Linked DNA regions of Danio rerio. The protein of the gene in region 1 interacts with the protein of each later gene in a pairwise test. Links are inferred from orthologs where the notes say so. Each region holds a gene or a part of one and is shown in the gene's direction. Other genes may lie near its edges.

The links. The genes of interacting proteins can lie anywhere in the genome.
Region 2: the proteins of kxd1 (region 1) and map1lc3a interact in binary tests that used the Homo sapiens proteins (3 or more experiments, as listed by UniProt). The two-hybrid records come from large-scale screens. The link is inferred for Danio rerio from reciprocal best matches to the Homo sapiens genes KXD1 and MAP1LC3A.

Annotation. Positions count from the first base shown.
Region 1 is NC_133200.1:21,948,866-21,957,740, forward strand, and holds the start of kxd1 (kxDL motif-containing protein 1), read left to right. Parts: upstream 1-4,331; 5' UTR 4,332-4,587; coding exon of another isoform or gene 4,588-4,682; 5' UTR 4,683-5,334; intron 5,335-5,750; coding exon of another isoform or gene 5,751-5,778; coding exon 5,779-5,903; intron 5,904-8,222; coding exon 8,223-8,269; intron 8,270-8,875. Other genes in the region: edc3 (enhancer of mRNA-decapping protein 3), read right to left, coding at 459-622.
Region 2 is NC_133186.1:28,687,803-28,696,403, forward strand, and holds the end of map1lc3a (microtubule-associated proteins 1A/1B light chain 3A), read left to right. Parts: intron 1-1,521; coding exon 1,522-1,577; intron 1,578-2,911; coding exon 2,912-3,018; intron 3,019-4,963; coding exon 4,964-5,126; 3' UTR 5,127-6,184; downstream 6,185-8,601. UniProt on the Homo sapiens protein: Ubiquitin-like modifier involved in formation of autophagosomal vacuoles (autophagosomes). While LC3s are involved in elongation of the phagophore membrane, the GABARAP/GATE-16 subfamily is essential for a later stage in autophagosome maturation.

The DNA of each region.
Region 1 (8,875 bases):
ACTTCCCATCTCCGGAAGTAAGCGTCTATTCACACCACTAATTCATAAAAAAGGAAAGGTTTTGTAATATTTTTAAATAGCATAACGAGGCTTTTTGACTTCTTTTTAACTTTTCACTTCCAAAATGATTGGTTAACACTGACTTCCAAAGTTTCCCTCTGCTATAAGTCAATAACGACCACATTATTATTATTTTCAAATTAACTTAATTTGTGTTTAACAGAAAAAGGGAACTTATGCAGGTTTAGAAAAAAAGAGAGGTTGAATAAATGATTCTTATATATTCATTAACAAAAATCTAACAAACATTAACAAAATTCTACAACTCAAATTACATAAAGGGATTTCAAAATACCACACAAGTGTGGCTTAAGACAAATGAGACGAAAGTATCCATCCTAAAAACATCAGTAAAAATGATAAAAGACATAATAACACAGCTCTCTTTTATAATTTACCTGAAGGTAACCTCAGGCACAGTGCATTTGACTCCATTGTGGAAGGGGTTTCTGAGAGAGATGGTCTGACTGGTCTGATCCACTGAAGAAATCTCCCCTTGGTAGACTCCTAGAGTTGGTCCACAATGGATTGAAACAAGATTGCCAACCCAGTCTAATGCCATTTTGACCAGCTGAAATGAGATTCAAAGACGCTTTGTTAGTTGTCATGATGGTTTTAAATATACAGGTAACTCTTGAAGCGTTATTGGGCGTCTGAAGCATGAATACGAAGAATGTTTTGGAAGAATAAGTATTGAACGTTAGAAAGGAATATGCTAACGTTAGCCAGCTACATGTACAGCACGCAACGGGCTTATAAGCTAATTTTTCGGTTTTATAAAAATTGTAAAGTGAGTTTCTCACCTGTTTTCAAGGGCAAAACCTTTCAATTATACGGATAAGTTGTGTACTGTGATAGATTTGGATAAACTCTTCTAAAGAGCTCGACTACGCGATCGGCTTCTTCTATGAAAGTTGACTGAGTGAGGATCAGATTTGAATCTGTATTTACTGCCGCTTACTGGGCAACCGCCGAACTACATTGAGTTGCTAAAGAAGGCAGATATTTATTTTTTTGAAACTGTTAAATGATTATTATTCATTCATTTTTGTTTCTTTTCTTGGTCCCCTTATTAATCTGGGGTCGCCACAGCGGAATAAACCACCTACTTATTCAGCATATGCTTCATGCAGCGAATGCCCTTCCAGCTGCAACCCAACACTGGATTATTTTTAACAATTTATAACTTGCAGTTATTTCTCTCAGAATATTTTTACATTCTAAAATAACACATTTATATATTATTATGGTTGTGTTCATTAAGAAATTTAAATCCCCGTGAAATTAAAACTTATCAAATGATTTTATCAGCTCACATTGCTAGTTTTGCGGTGAACAATTCATCTGTGCATGTCATTAAGAAAAAAAAATCGTAATTTGTCATTTTTATCCCGTTTCTCTAGGAACTACGTCACATTACAAAAAAAAGCTTAAATCGTAGCTTCTGGTTCATGGGGACTACATTTTTTTAAACTGATTTTTAAAAAAGGTTGTCACTCACTCACTTTCCTTGTTTCTTTATTTGCCACAGCGGAATGAACCACCAATTACTCTGGCATATGTTTTACTCTTGCTGCCGCAACCCAGCCCTGAGAGTGTAACTCATGCAGTGCCCTGAGAATGTTACTTTAAAAAAACTAATTTAAATTTGAATAAATACTAAAAATAGAATTAAAATAGCAAGATACGCTTGAGATTTAGTTTTTTGATTTTTGTTAAAATTGTTTTGCATAAAATGTAATTTCTACTCTACTAGATGTCAACGGGTGTATTGAGATCATAATGCTGAAAATCTGTGTATACACAAATACAAAAATGTCAAATAATCTTGTTTAAGAATTAATTTTCTTTTCGACCTAGTCCCCTCATCAATCCGGGGTCGCCACAGCGGAATGAACCGCCAACTTATCCAGCACGTTTTTACACAGCGGATGCCCTTTCAGCCGCAACCCATCTCTGGGAAACATCCACACACACTCATTCACACACACTCATACACTATGGACAATTTAGCCTACCGAATTCACCTGTACCGCACGTCTTTGGATTGTGGTGGAAACCGGAGCACCCGGAGGAAACCCACGCGAACGCAGGGGGAACATGCAAACTCCACACAGAAACGGCAACTGACCCAGCCGAGGCTCGAATCAGCGACTTTCTTGCTGTGAGGCGTCAGCACTACCTACTGCACCTCTGCATCGCTGAATCTTGTTTAAGAATTTATAACGTCCAAAATATCAAATAACAATAATTAACCTAAATCTATATGAATTTATCTATATAATATTTTAAAACACACACACAAAGACACACACATATAATTCACTCTGAAATAAATCTTGCTGTCTAACTTTTCAGTTAAATCAAATTAACTAGCTGTAGTCGTCATCTCAACTCACACCAGTTAAAAACTGGCTAAAAATAAAAGGTTAAATTGTGTATGCAGTTAAAGTCAGAATTATTAGCCCCCCTTTGATTTTTTTTTTCTTTTTAAATATTTCCCAAATGATGTTTAACAGAACAAGGCCATTTTTTCAGTATGTCTGATAATATTTTTTCTTCTGGAGAAAGTCTTATTTGCTTTATTTCTGCTAGATTAAAAGTAGTTATTAATTTTTTACAAACCATTTTAAGGTCAAAATGATTAGCCCTTTTAAACTTTGTATTTTTGATAGTCTACAGAACAAACCATCATTATACAATAACTTGCCTAATTATCCTAACCTACTTAACATTATTAACATAGTTAAGCCTTTAAATGTCACTGTAAGCTGCATAGAAGTGTATTAAAAAATATCTAGTGAAATATTATTTACTGTCATCATGGCAAAGATAAAATAAATCAGTTATTAGAAATGAGTTATTAAAATTATTATGTTTAGAAATGTGTTGAACAAATCTTCTCTCTGTTAAACAGAAATTGAGGGGAAAAAATAAACAGGGGGGTCTAATAAATCAAGGGGGCTAATAATTCTGACTTCAACTGTACATTATGTATAATGGTAGTGTTCAGTGACAAGATCCATTTAGAAATAATTCTGTAATGCCAAACATTATACACTTCAGAAATCAATGCCATACAGCTTTATTAACTTATTTAAATAAGTTAAAGTAACAAAATATTGTTGACTTTTGTCATATCATTTTTACATTGTGTATAATAAACTGAAATCGAATAATATAATAAGCAATCTTCAAACAATATATACTATTAATACAAATAAGTTAATTATGCAAATGTATATTTTTACATAATTAAAATGTATTAAAATCAATTAATAAAAAAGTATTTCTTAAAAATGTAATAATACAGTTTACATATAACGCCATTTATATTAATAGGTTTAGAAAATGCTTAAATAAACTGAATAAATTACTTCCACTATTCATAATAACATTTATATTTATAAATAGAAACTAATATTTACCGAAATATAAAATACAGGCCTAATATATATATATATATATATATATATATATATATATATATATATATATATATATATATATATATATATATATATATATATATATATATATATTCATAATATCCATCTCATGTGGTGCATATAGTACTGAAGTCATTTTGGGATACTGTATTCTTATTTTATATTGTATGTTAAAACAAATTAAAACAATATTTTAAAGCCCTTTTTATTTATTTATTTTTTTATTGCAATTTTAGAACACAGAACATACAAAGGGAATAAAAACATTATGTTTACATAAAAATAAATACAACATAAAACAAAAATAAAAAAATACAATTATTCAAAGACAGCATTTAAGGCTTTAAGATAATAATAGTATAATAATAACAGTTCTTTTTGTTTGGTATTTTTTGTTTCTTTTATTGTCCTTGTCCTATTTCTATTTTTAAGTGAGTAAAATTAGGTTTTTCCACTGCACATGTACATTTATGAATAAAAATATTTCCATATATAATTAGCAAATTACAAAACACCACATTATAAAGTAGACAGTATTCTCATATAAAGAATAAATAATCTTTTTCTTTGAATTGAAAAGCAATATTCATAACGTTTACCAAAAAAAAAAAAAAGATAACACCAAAACAACTGTGTATAAATACAACCATAACATAAATGAGCAATACTCTCTTCTTTATCATCACAGAAAGCGCATTATAAATCTACATTTCATTTTAAAGCCCTTTTAAACCCCTCTTTCTGTCTTTCTGAACATCCAATCAACGCTAAGAAAACCTTCTAGATGCCGCCTCCCAAATGCGTCACGATCTCTCAGCGATCATATGACAACACCACAACAAAAATGTCTGCCTGCATCTCAGTCCAGTAAATGTTTGATCGTTTTAGGAATACAATAAAAGTCTGCATACATGCAAAACCTCCTGCATCAGACTGCGACGCTTTAGAAACAAACAAAGTCAGACGAAAACTAGTCAGAAAGCGAATATTTTAGCACGTAAGCGATTACACTCGTCTGTATCGGTTTATTATTAGCATAACTCAATAAATCTCGTGCTTTGCTCTCGAAAAAGTTCAAATGGAGCCCACAGCTTCGGGAATATTCTGTAACAGGATGCTCAGTATGGTGAACTCTGAGGATGTGAACGCCATCATTCAAGCCCAGAGACATATGTGAGTATCCCTGTCTAGTGAAATTGAGGTAAAATTCGGATTATATTCACACATCCAGACTTTCTCCTTAACAGTATAACTTCAGAAAAGTGTCGTTTTCAAATTCTTAACAGTGGAATCATATTAGCAGCCAATGACTATCAAAATGCAACATTGTTCACAGTCAAATAAATAGTGCTAATGTTGTTTTCAAGTCACACCAAAGTCCCTGTAAGGCATATTGTATTCTATGTATTCTATAGTCTTTGTGATTTCATATAATTCATTTTCTTGTCGGCTTAGTCCCTTTATTAATCCGGGGTCACCATAGCGGAATGAACCGCCAACTTATCCAGCAAGTTTTTACGCAGCGGATGCCCTTCCAGCCACAACCCATCTTTGGGAAACATCCACACACACATTTACACACTCGTACACTACGGACAATTTAGCCTACCCTATTCACCTGTACCGCATGTCTTTGGACTGTGGGGGAAACCGGAGCATCCGGAGGAAACCCACACGAAGGCAGGGAGAACATACAAACTCCACACAGAAATGCCAACTGAGCCGAGGTTCGAACCAGCGACCCAGAGACCTTCTTGCTGTGAGGCAACAGCACTACCTATTGCACCACTGCCTCGCCCTGATTTCGATTATTCAAATTACCACGGTAAACATAAGGAAATTGAGGTAAAGTTGGTTTTATATTTGAACATTCTTTCAGTGATCACTTGTGATATGGTCCCTATATTGTTTACCATGGTACTGGTAAAACATTGGGTCTGAAATCCTGTGTAAGAATGACTTCAAAACAACATAACCACTATTTATTTGACTATAAACAACCTAGTCTGATGCTCATTGACTGCTAATATGTTTCCACTATTTAGTATTCGCAAAGAGTAAGTTTCTGAAATTATATTATTAAAGAGAAAGTCTGAATGTGTGAATATAAAACCAACTTCACCTCAAAATATAGGAAGAATGTCACAAGTTGAATTTAAAACCAACTTTAACGTACCTAAATTCTAGTAAAGTACCTAAAAAGGAAGCTGTTTAAAACCTGTTTTGATGCATGTCCTACAGGCTGGACCGCTTTGAGAAAACCAATGAGATGCTGATCAACTTCAACGGCTTGTCCAATGTGCGCTTACAGCAGATGAATGAACACTTTCTGATGCACACCAGGACTTTGATAGAGATGAAGAAAGACTTGGACAGCATCTTCAGAAGAATAAGGTGTTATGTTTGCAAATTAAGATTGAATTGAGTGATGTTTAGCAATGAGTGTGTTACCATATTTTACTATTTTGTCATTTAAAATGCCATTAAAGTAACTTTTCACAAATTAAACTCAACAAATTAGTTGAGTAATATTACATTGTAAGTCAGTACATTATTTAAGTGTAAATAGAAAATGTACTCTAGTTTTCACCTGTGTATAGGGGAGAGCGGGGCACAAAGTAACACTTTTTGGTTTTGGCCAAATAATGAACAAAGTAATGGAGTTAGACAAACCATCTGAATTCATACGGTCAAGGAAAACCTGGAAAAGTCGTAGTATTTTGACATGCCTTTTTCAAGGCTTGGGAAAGTTTGGGAAAAAGAGAAAAACCCACAAAGTTTTGGAAAAATCATGGAAAACAGAAATCTTTATACTTGAATATAGGTTATTTACTGCTTTTCTGTCCTTTGCCAGTCACATTCTCACAATATTAGTGTGATGTAAGCATTATCTGAATCAATTTTACATAGATGTAAATATAAATTAAAACTTAATAGGTTGTTGCTTGTTTTACGATATGCTGTAATCAATTTGAACCTGCATTGTTTTTCTTTTACCATGCATATGTAGACATTGCATGAAACATTAAGGTCATAAAAATTTACTTAAAAGTTTTGGAAAAATCATGCAAAAGTCATGGAATTTTAGTAGTAAAAATGTGTCTGAACCCTGAACCATTTATTTTTACCAACAACACACAAGCCTCTCCTACCAATGAGCAATGGTTGTATGATTTTCAGACCTATGGTTTCTGTGTATTATTGCCAAAAGTGCAGGGAGTAAAAATGTTACTATTTACCCCACATGTGGGGCAAGTTGTAACAGACAGAGGGTTAGTTGTAACACATGCTTATAAAGTCAGCTCTCACACAATTTATTTAAAATCAGTTTATTTAAATAGTAGCTATATTTCCTCAGTACATTGCTCAGTTTATTTTTATTCAACATAGCACAATATGTTTATTTATTTATCTGTTGGATAAAGACATTTGGATTTATTTCATTATTGTACATTATTATACAATGCACTTATTTGCAGTATTAGCTATAAAATAAATTTTTTTCTATTAAAAAATATTTTCTTTTATAAAACATTTTGTATAAAAAGTTCTGAACATTACACTCAAAAAAAAAAAAATATATATATATTATCAGTCACAGTTTTTTTTTTTACATCTTTCAAAATGGTTCCATCTTTCAGCCTAGAAGAAGGTAATCACAGCAATATAAGATTTTACTTGCATACTTACACAGATTTTTTTTTTAAATAAAAAATACCAACTAAAAAAAAAAAAAAAAAACTTTTATGCTGCAAAAACGGTTTCTCCTGTATTTCTCATTAAAATTTCCCTGAAAGTTTTCAATAATTGGCAGGAAGACATTTGCCGACCGACACTGTGGTGAAAACTTCGGAAGCATGGCATGGTTAACCCTGCGCAAATACCTTGTTTTCTATTTTACTCCACGTTACTTTGTGCTCTGCCCTCCCCTATTAACCATTTAACTGCCTGCTCATCCAAATGGTTGACCATATATTTACTGATTTTAAACAATGACTGTTAAAGTCATTCAAGAAATGACTGTTTTAAATAATGGTTCACACTACTACACTTGATTTTGGTTTGATTGCAAAAAAACAAACAAGAAAACATGTTAAATGAGAATCTAAAATATTTTATGGTATACTTAAAAAAAAATAGTATTCAAATTTTTCAGAAATCATTCAGAAATGTTTTATTTTGAATCTATTTTTAAATAATCAGTCTTACACTTCATATTTTCCGATTTTTCAAAGTATATTTATTAGTTCTGGTACTTTTACCATTAACCAACATATCTACCATTTGGTAGATGCTGATACTTTAGAAATGATGGGATGTGTTTTGCATTGAGTGCATTACTAGTGACATTAGGAGTTAAGAAATGCAATCCAAAACATTTTTCTTAGTGGGGCAGTTAAAGTGTTAAATAAACAAGTAATAAGTGATCATACTAAATTGTATTCATATTTTAAGATTTTTTTAAAAGAGTATTACTGACAAATTGGTAGCTAACAGAAGGCAAAGTGTAAAGATTTAAAATGACAATTAATTAGTATTTTTTGCTCCACTGTGAGCCCTAAACAGAGTCTTTTAATATGGCATGACTTAATTATTGTTCTAAATGTGCATGAAAAGATTACATTTTTGTAAAATATGGTAAAATGTATAGACATACTTTTTTGCTCAGAAAAAAAGGCTGCATAACGTCTAATATATTTTGTGTTTCCTCAGGACGTTAAAAGGCAAGGTTGCAAAGCAATATCCAGAGGCCTTTAGCAGTAAGTATTTATGTGTTATTTTTTTGATTGGGATGATGCAGTATTATTAACACTGATAAATCTTAACATTCAACTATTTACTGTATTTCTTGCATTACTAGTGTGTGGTCAGGTAGAACGATGGCTCAGTGGTTAGCACTGTCGCTTTACAGCAAGAAGGTCTCTGGTTCAAGTCCAGGCTGGGCAAGTTGGCATGTCTGTGTGGAGTTTGCATGTTCTCGCCATGTTGGCAGGGGTTTCCTCCACTGTCTAGTTTATTCCACAATCCAAAGACCTGGTAGAGGTGAATTAGATGAACCAATTTTGGAAGTTTCACATTCATTTTCGTCATAGACATTTATTAAGAACCCTATATAAGCAATGAACCAAAATAAAAGAAATACCTGAATATCAAAAGTTACTTAAAGGGATAGGTCACCTCCCCAAAAAATGTCATAATTTCTTCACCCTTCACTGGATAAAAACCTATATGAGTTTATTAATTTTTTTCTGTTGAATAAACAAAATAAGATATTTGAAGAATGTTGGGGTCCCAGCAAAATATCTTTTTTTTTTTATTCAACAGAAAAAGGAAACTCTTAAAGGTTAAAAACCATGCGAGGGGAA
Region 2 (8,601 bases), on another chromosome or scaffold:
ATGAGACGATTATAGAAATAAATATTAAAGTCTAAATGACAGTTTTTAACAAAAACCGACAGAGGTCAGTTGCTAAACAGTAAGCTAGCTTGGGCTTTTTTATAGGCCTTGTGTTTAAATTTTATCAGCTTTATTTTTTTTACAACTGTTGTGTTTGTAAATACGTATATAACCTTATATTTAACTTTTTACTTAGAAACATAGATGAATGACATATAGTTACAGATATGTAGCTAGATAAATGTGTTGTTTACCAGCTTTGTGAAAATGTGAGATCAACATTTCTTTTTTTTGACAGTAGTGTTTTTCTGTTACATTTGGTGTAAATGATGCATTTATATATTTAGAATATTTATTGTTTGACAATAACATTGAAGGAAAGGATGGACTGTACACGTGCTGTTGATATGATGCTGTAATATGAGCTCTTTCTCATAGTCCAGACTGTGGACAGGGTGTGGGGAGGGAGGAGCATAAAACCCTTGCATAATCTTCCTAAACATAACAAGTGCAACATAGATTTGCTGTTTCAAACACATCTGTAAGAGTCCGGGTCAATATGATCTGCATACAGTCTTATATTTGTCCAGCCTTTGGGATTATACAATTGACACGGATGACCCAGACATGACATCAGTAAAAATGACACACAAGTTAGGAAGCTTACCCTGATAAGCAAGCTGGATTTTTTTTAGTTTTACTTTGAAATATACTTGCAGTGGTAGCCAGAATGAAACACAAGTTACCCACATCATCACTTAAATAGATATTGATTTTCGACAAACAAAACATAAGTTAATTTTTACAATTTTATTTATTATGACATTGTTATACAGTTTCTTTTCAATGGCTTAAAGTAAAAAGACTGTTGAAAAAAATCCACTATTTCTCTTACTTTTATACTATTCAGGAGCCATTTGCACCCTCTGACAGGTAAAATCTGCTTCTTTCACTCCAAGTTCAAAGCAAACTCGAATGCCAAAGCATTTTAGAAATGTATAGAAAATAGCCTATGTAATATATTAACATAAATTAATAAAATAATCAGCAGATGAGAAATAAATGATAGAAAAGGAATAAAAACAGACAATGTCTCTAAAAATGCAAATCTTGTAAATTTTAATTACAAGATTAAAACGTGTAGTTTATTTAAATAATGCAAATGCGTTGATTAACCATTGTTGAGCTTTCAGAGTGATAACAAAAGATATTAAACCTTTTAACAGAAATTAATGTTTGTTTGTCTGTTATACTGTACATTATGGTGGAATAGGTTTGTAGAGTAGGGCATGTCAAACAACACATCCGCAATTATTTTTCCTCAAGTTTTTAGGAATGTTTATTGAGCGTTTCTGCTAAACAGGTTTGACATAAGCAAATTCAGCAAATGCTAATGCAGTGATTACAGTGTTTTCAGGAATGAGTCTTGAAAATATACTTACTGTGTATTTTGAATTTGGACTGTAAAATGTATATTATTCAGAAGTGTACCAAATTTCTGTTTGTTTTTTGTCTTTTCAGCTGATCGTTGCAAGGAAGTGCAGCAGATACGAGAGCAGCATCCTAATAAAATTCCGGTGAGAAACTAGTTTTGTTTTATGCAAGTGTCATAAATGAATTTAGACTTATTGCTTTAGCCTTATTGCTTTCAAGATGTCACTTACCTGTCAGCTCCGGATTTCTTTTAAGATCCTGAAATTTATTACTCTAAAACAATGGGCTTCAACTTCTATGAGGGCCTTGGGGTGACTTAGAATTATTGAAAAAGAAAAGATGAAGCTAAAGCAGTTAGAAATACTGCATTTATTTAACAAAGCATCAATCATTTTAAAGTGTGATTTCTAGACCTTGGAAATATAAAAATAAGTAATATTAAAATACATTGTTCTATGTATCCACAGCTCTAAACCATTATATGAATATATCAAAATATATTAGGAAATAATCTTAATTTTTTATTGTAATCTTTATCTTTAGTGAAATATATTAGGAAATATATTTCAAAGACAAGACATTCCATTCTGTCATCTGCATCAAATTCAGTATAAGTGATTTTTATATACAGTTCTCTCCCCAGTTTGAAAATTTTTGGAGGCGAAATTTTTTTCCCCATTTCTCGGTGCATATGGATAATATATATTGGTGCATTTGATCAAAACCGATAATTAAACAGATATTTTTATTAAAAATAATATTTCAGTCACAGAACATATTTAGAAATGAAAAGATAATATATTTAAATTAATGCAAAATATTGCAAAAAAAAATTACAAACTACAACATTTCAACAAAATTGTATATATTTTTTGTAAAAGTTCCTAAGGCTCCTATGGCTTCAGTACTGAATAAACTAATGTATATGCACAAATAAAATATTGTACAGTATCCTATAGAAAATATTAATTGAAATCAGACATTTGTGGGGGGTGTACTCGTATATGCTGAGCACTGTACATAAAAAGCATAGTAACTTTCTACTTTAATGTTCTACTTTAACATTTTGACATTATATGCTAAATGATTAGAAAATATTGATCTATAATCATTTAGCATATAATGTAAAAATGCAATGGCAGCAGCTGGCTTTATTGTAATAAAATGTATAAAAGAATAGGTGATCATACTAAAACTGCACTAAAATGATTAAAAAGAACATTTTAATGTCATGATCAAATTATTCTTGTTTAAATATGCCTGAAGATTTTTCAAATATAAACTATTGCACTGACTAGTATTTTAGATTGTGTCTGATAGTCACTATTGTATAATCTGATAAAACCTATTCTAATGTATGAACATTTGAAATCTATATTACAGTGTTGTATATTTGGTTTGTATAAATATATTTCAAAGGATATGTTGTCTAAAAAAAATGCTACTAGACCCATTTCAACACTTTTTCTTCTTCCAGGTGATCATTGAGAGGTATAAGGGGGAAAAGCAACTTCCAGTCTTGGACAAGACCAAGTTCCTTGTCCCTGACCATGTTAACATGAGTGAGCTGGTAAAGATTATCAGGTAAACATCCATAAATTCAGTGCCTAATTTTGACTTTGGAAAATTTAAATGCACAAAAAAACAGGACGTTGAGACTTATTGATATCAGCTGAAAGTCATGAAGAAATGGAGATAAACAGAAATATTTTTGTGCAAGTCACTGTAAGCAGTAAATAGCATTTACTTTAGCTGTATCCAGTTTGTTTACTTGTCTGATGGGGGAGGAGAATGCTATGCGGTTCCAGTTAAAAGTGTCTTCTGACCCCGTCATCAACAGGAGACTTTAGCAAAACTCTTTTCAACTGCTTGAACTTGAAAACTGTTTGCGCAACATCCACATTCTTTGTGGCGGGCTATTTTCCTATTTCTTTTGTGATGCTTGAATGTGAAAGCAAGTTATCTTTCCTCTTGTAAGATCAGTGTTGCCTTCCAGGTATTTGAACACAGACTCGGTCAGATGATCAGACTAGAGACACATGCTGCCGATCATACTTCATAATCCTTGCCTATGAGTCATGGCTGCCATATTATTTATAGATCAGGCTTGAAATCATGATTAAATTTTGAGTTCAAAGGTGAAGTTTCTGACACTTCACTGTAAAAATTAGGATTCTAACAAAATGCTAAGGTAATTTTCTTATGTGTAGTTTAACATGGAATTTTGAAGTTATCTTACTGCATATGTTTCAGTGAAATTATCTAATTTGATGCTCTCAAAAAACAGAAATGAGTTTAAAAAAAAAAAAACCTTGTCCATCATTATATTTTTAGGCCAGGTTTTCTTGTATTAATGCAAGCAGCATACATTTAGGCAAAAAGCTGTATTTGTATTGAAGTGTATTATTATTACCCCATTTCCATTCATAAATCTATTTTACACGTGGTGCAAAAAATAATTCCTCTTAGGACCTTCAAGGCCCAAATTACCCCACTGAAACCCATTAAAATGGCAGTATTTCATTCCAGTGCCATTTAAGTGCTTTTGTTAACAGGTTTCCATTTTGTTGGCAAGGTTTCTGAATTATAAAGTATTAGTAATAAAGTCTTATTATCTGACTGGAATGAAAAAAGTAAAAACTAAGGTCAGTGTAATTAGCCACCTAAAGAAATATATATTTTTTTAATTGGCTACAGAACAAACCAATGTTTGCATAATTAACCAAATTTACCAAGTTAAGCCTTTAAATTGTACTTTAAGCTGAATACTACTACCTTGCAAAATATCTACTAAAATATTATGTACTGTCATCATGGCAGAGACAAAAGAAATTAGTTATTAGAGATTACTTTTAAAACAGTTGTGTTTACAATGTGTTGAAGTTTATTGTGCAGACCTACTTTTATTTATTCATTTTCTCTTCGGCTTAGTCCCTTTATTAATCTTGGGTCACCACAGCGGAATGAACCGCCAGCCCTACTGGAATGTATGTAAAATAATATATTTACACTGTACAAAATGCAGGGTTCAACAAAAATTGCTTCATGTTGTCCCAACACAATTCGATTGTTAACTTGATTGTTGTTACACATTTAAGTGGATTGTATATAAAACAATTAGGTTGTCAAAAAAACCAAAGAATTGTGTTGAGTCTGCTTATCTCAAATAAGTGGTTTAAACAAGCAGTAAAAATATTTTTTAGTGTAGTTTTTTCAACAATAGTGGCAATATATAAACAATCTTAAAAAGGGTGCTAATGTAGTTTTATCATGGCTTTATTGGCTAATATTGTAGATCTCATCATGGCTGATATTGGTGAAAATTTTTTTTTTACATTTTTTAAAATATGATACTTTTATGATGGTATTTGGAAATATTTTTGCGCCCTGTGGACTTTTGTAACTTTTAACATTGACATGCAAGTGCTTAAGAAACTAAAGAGCAACTGTGGATTAAGCGGAACAGCCTTGCATTTGCCTTGAATGTGCATGTTTTAGTCATTATAATCAACTCTGAAATCTCTCGCAGGCGTCGACTGCAGCTCAACCCCACCCAGGCCTTTTTCCTTCTTGTCAATCAGCACAGCATGGTCAGCGTGTCCACCCCCATTTCTGAGATCTACGAACAAGAGCGTGACGAAGACGGCTTCCTCTACATGGTTTACGCCTCCCAGGAGACCTTCGGCTGCTAAACAGGCCGACTCGACCTTCGACAGGAACAGACGTCACCCAAATGCACCCGATTATTTAGCTCTGTCCCCATCATCACTACTCTGGTAGGAAATACATAAAAACCGTTGCGTTTTCTCCATTTGACACTATAGTGCAAAGTAAAGCACTAGTATAAACACTACACTGATATTTCACCCCATTTTAAACCTCCTACTTTTCCTTTAAAAGCTAAGCGTAGGTTTTGTATTTGGCTCCGTGACTTTTTTTCCCTTTGTATTTTTATTATCTTTAGGCGAATATGTCAAATAATAAGTAACACATGTTGATGTAAATAGGTAAGAGTGTGTGTGTTTTTTATTATTTAGGATTGATTTGTTTTTTCTGTTTGTTTGCTTGTAGTAAATAATAGCCTGTTACCAGACCGCAGTGGTGCTGGTGTAAGATTGTGAAAATCTTACAGAAGAATTAAGTGCTTATTAATCAAAACGCAGCATCATTTTCATTAAATCAACTATTAGACCCGTTTTTTTGGGTCCCAAGATAAAACTGAAAGGAGAACAATAATTGAACTGATCCGAAGAATTTCTGGGTGTAAAAAAAACCTCATTGATCACTCACTGTAAAATAAAGATACTGCCTGACGGTAACTGTACTGTATATGTGTGAGCCGGAAGAGCAGCAAAGATCTTTTGGCATACAGTATTCTGCAGTCACATCATTTTTAGAATAAACTGCTTTATTTGCACAATTTAAAAAAAACATCTAAGAGGACAAACTGTTCAACAAGTATAGCACATAATTATATTCTCTTTTATTCTTGATTTTTTTCCTCCTGTGTCACCATACGAGCTGTATGCCTTCTGTTAAATCTCAGATGAAGGGATCGTGATGCACTACTTCGCATGTTGGGTTTCTCAACCTTTTTTATATTGATTTATGCTATAGATTTGTTAATTATTTCAGCTTTATTTAAAGAGACTTTTTAGGTGTTTTCAAACCAAAAAAAAAAAAAAACTGAAATATGTCAATGGATGTTTGAAAAACAAGTGTGTGTATAAATCATTGTACAAAAAAAAAAGTGTTCTGTTGTTTTTTTTCTAAATGCATAAGCACTGATGATACACTGTTCAGTAGACCTGGTATGAACAACAAATCTAGTCTCAAAAATGAAAACTTCTTGAAGAACGTTTGACAAACACTTTGAATTGTAACACATACAGTATGTTTTATGCAAATCATGTGAAAAAAAAAGTGTTAAAGACAAATAAACATTTTACACTAAGAACAGTAACTATTAATATCACAACATATCTTTGCGTCTGTAATTCACAGATCGTTATAATTAATATCATACAATTATTTAATCATCTAAATGGCAATGAACAAATATGCAAGTATTTTTACTTTTGCTTTACAGCATTTTTGAAATAACTTTGTAGTTGTAATAATAACTAATATTGTTATAAATAAATAACTTTATTTTTGTCCTGTTATGAGAGAATAGGGCAGAATTCTATCATGCATACTATAGTATTCTGCACAGTGAAAACGCTACATTATTTCAAAATGGTGCTGACACTGGATAGTTTATTTCATGTCTTATGTGTATTGTTTTTAAATACATTGATGAAAATTTTGATGACCATTTTATAATATTTTGAATGCACCTTGATAATATTACCATGATCAAATTAGAACAATTTTTTAAATTACACAAAAAATGCTGGATTATTTCAACTCAATTTTGGATAAAATATGGGCAAAATGAACCACTGTGTTATTATAGGACCAAATAAAACCCAAAGTAAAGGTTTGTCCGTATTTTCCCAGTTTTGGTTAAAATAACCTAGCGTTCTTGTGTATTCGTTCATTTTCATTTTGCTTAGTACCTTTATTCGGCAGGGGTCACCACAGCGGAATGAACTGCCAACTTATCCAGCATATGTTTAACACAGTGCATGCCCTTGCAGCTGCAACCCAGTACTGGGAAACATCCATACATACTCATTCACACACATACACTACCGACAATTTAGTCTGTTCAGTTCACCTACAGCACATGTCTTTGGAAAGTGGGAGGAAACTGGAGCACCCCTAGGTAACTCGTGCCAACGAGGGAAGAACATGCAAAGTACACACAGATATGCCAACTGACCCAGCCGGGACTCGAACCAGAGACCTTCTTGCTGTGAGGCTATAGTGCTAACCACTGTGTCGCCTTTTTTAGAGTGTGTGTATATTTCATCATATTAACTCTCGAGTAAACAGGGTTAGACAATACATCCAGATTGAACCAATAGAAGACAAACTCAATAAAACAGTGAATAAACAGTCTGTGTGATATGGAGGAAGCTTTATTTTGTCAAGTTATTTTCACACCCATAACTGTAAAGTAATGGACAGTTTATAGATGTTTTTCCCTTGAACAAGTCTTGATTGTTATTATAAGCTTAACATAGTCTATACCTGAGTGGTTTTCAACCAGGTGTTCCTGTATGTTATGAACAGCACCGTATTTTAAGATAATACTGACCAACAATGTGTGATTCCGCAAAACAGAAACAAAAAAACAAACATAGGAAATGTAGCTTTAAGGCGAGACACTGCAGGCAAAACTCTGATTTGTTTTCTTAAACCTTACAATTTTAAGATTGTGGACTTTTTGGCTTTTGATAGTGTTTTTTTTCAGTCTAATGTAATGAAAACATCCAATGTATACAGATAGTCAGAATTATTAGCCCCCCTTGGATTTTATTATTTTTTTAAAAATATTTCCCAAAGCAAGAAAATTTTCACAACATGTCTAATCTAATTTTTCTTCTGGAGAAAGTGTTATTTGCCTTATTTCAGCTAGAATGAAAGCTGTTTTTAGTTTTTTAAATAACCATTTCAGGTCAATATTATTAGTCCTTTAAAGCTTTTTTTTTTTTTTTAATATAATCTATAGAACAAACCATCATTATACAATAACTTGCCTAATTACTCTAACCTGCCTAGTTAACCTAATTAACCCAAATAAAACCTTATAAGATAAATTAAATCAGTTATTAGAAATGAATTATTAAAACTATTATGTTTAGAAATGTGTTGAATAAATCTTCTCTCTGTTAAGCAAACATTTGGGAAAAATATACAGAGGAGCTAATAATTCCGACTTCAACTGTATATATATATATATATATATATATATATATATATATATATATATATATATATATATTAAAACTGTTTATATGTGCTGAGCTTAAATACAATGTGCATGTGTCTGTTGCTTTATTTTAAACGTGCATCTGTTGGCTCATTACAAACATACATGTATGGCAAATTTCACAAAATACACGTTAAACTAACAAAAGACATTTTAAACCTCTTTCATGCCTCTTCAGGGTGGCATTAATCTGTATATCCTGCATTTTGCATTCTGACAAGCTGTGAATGCTCCATTGTAATCCATGGCTTCCTGCTTAACAAAACTGCTCCTTAACTCTTTCAAAA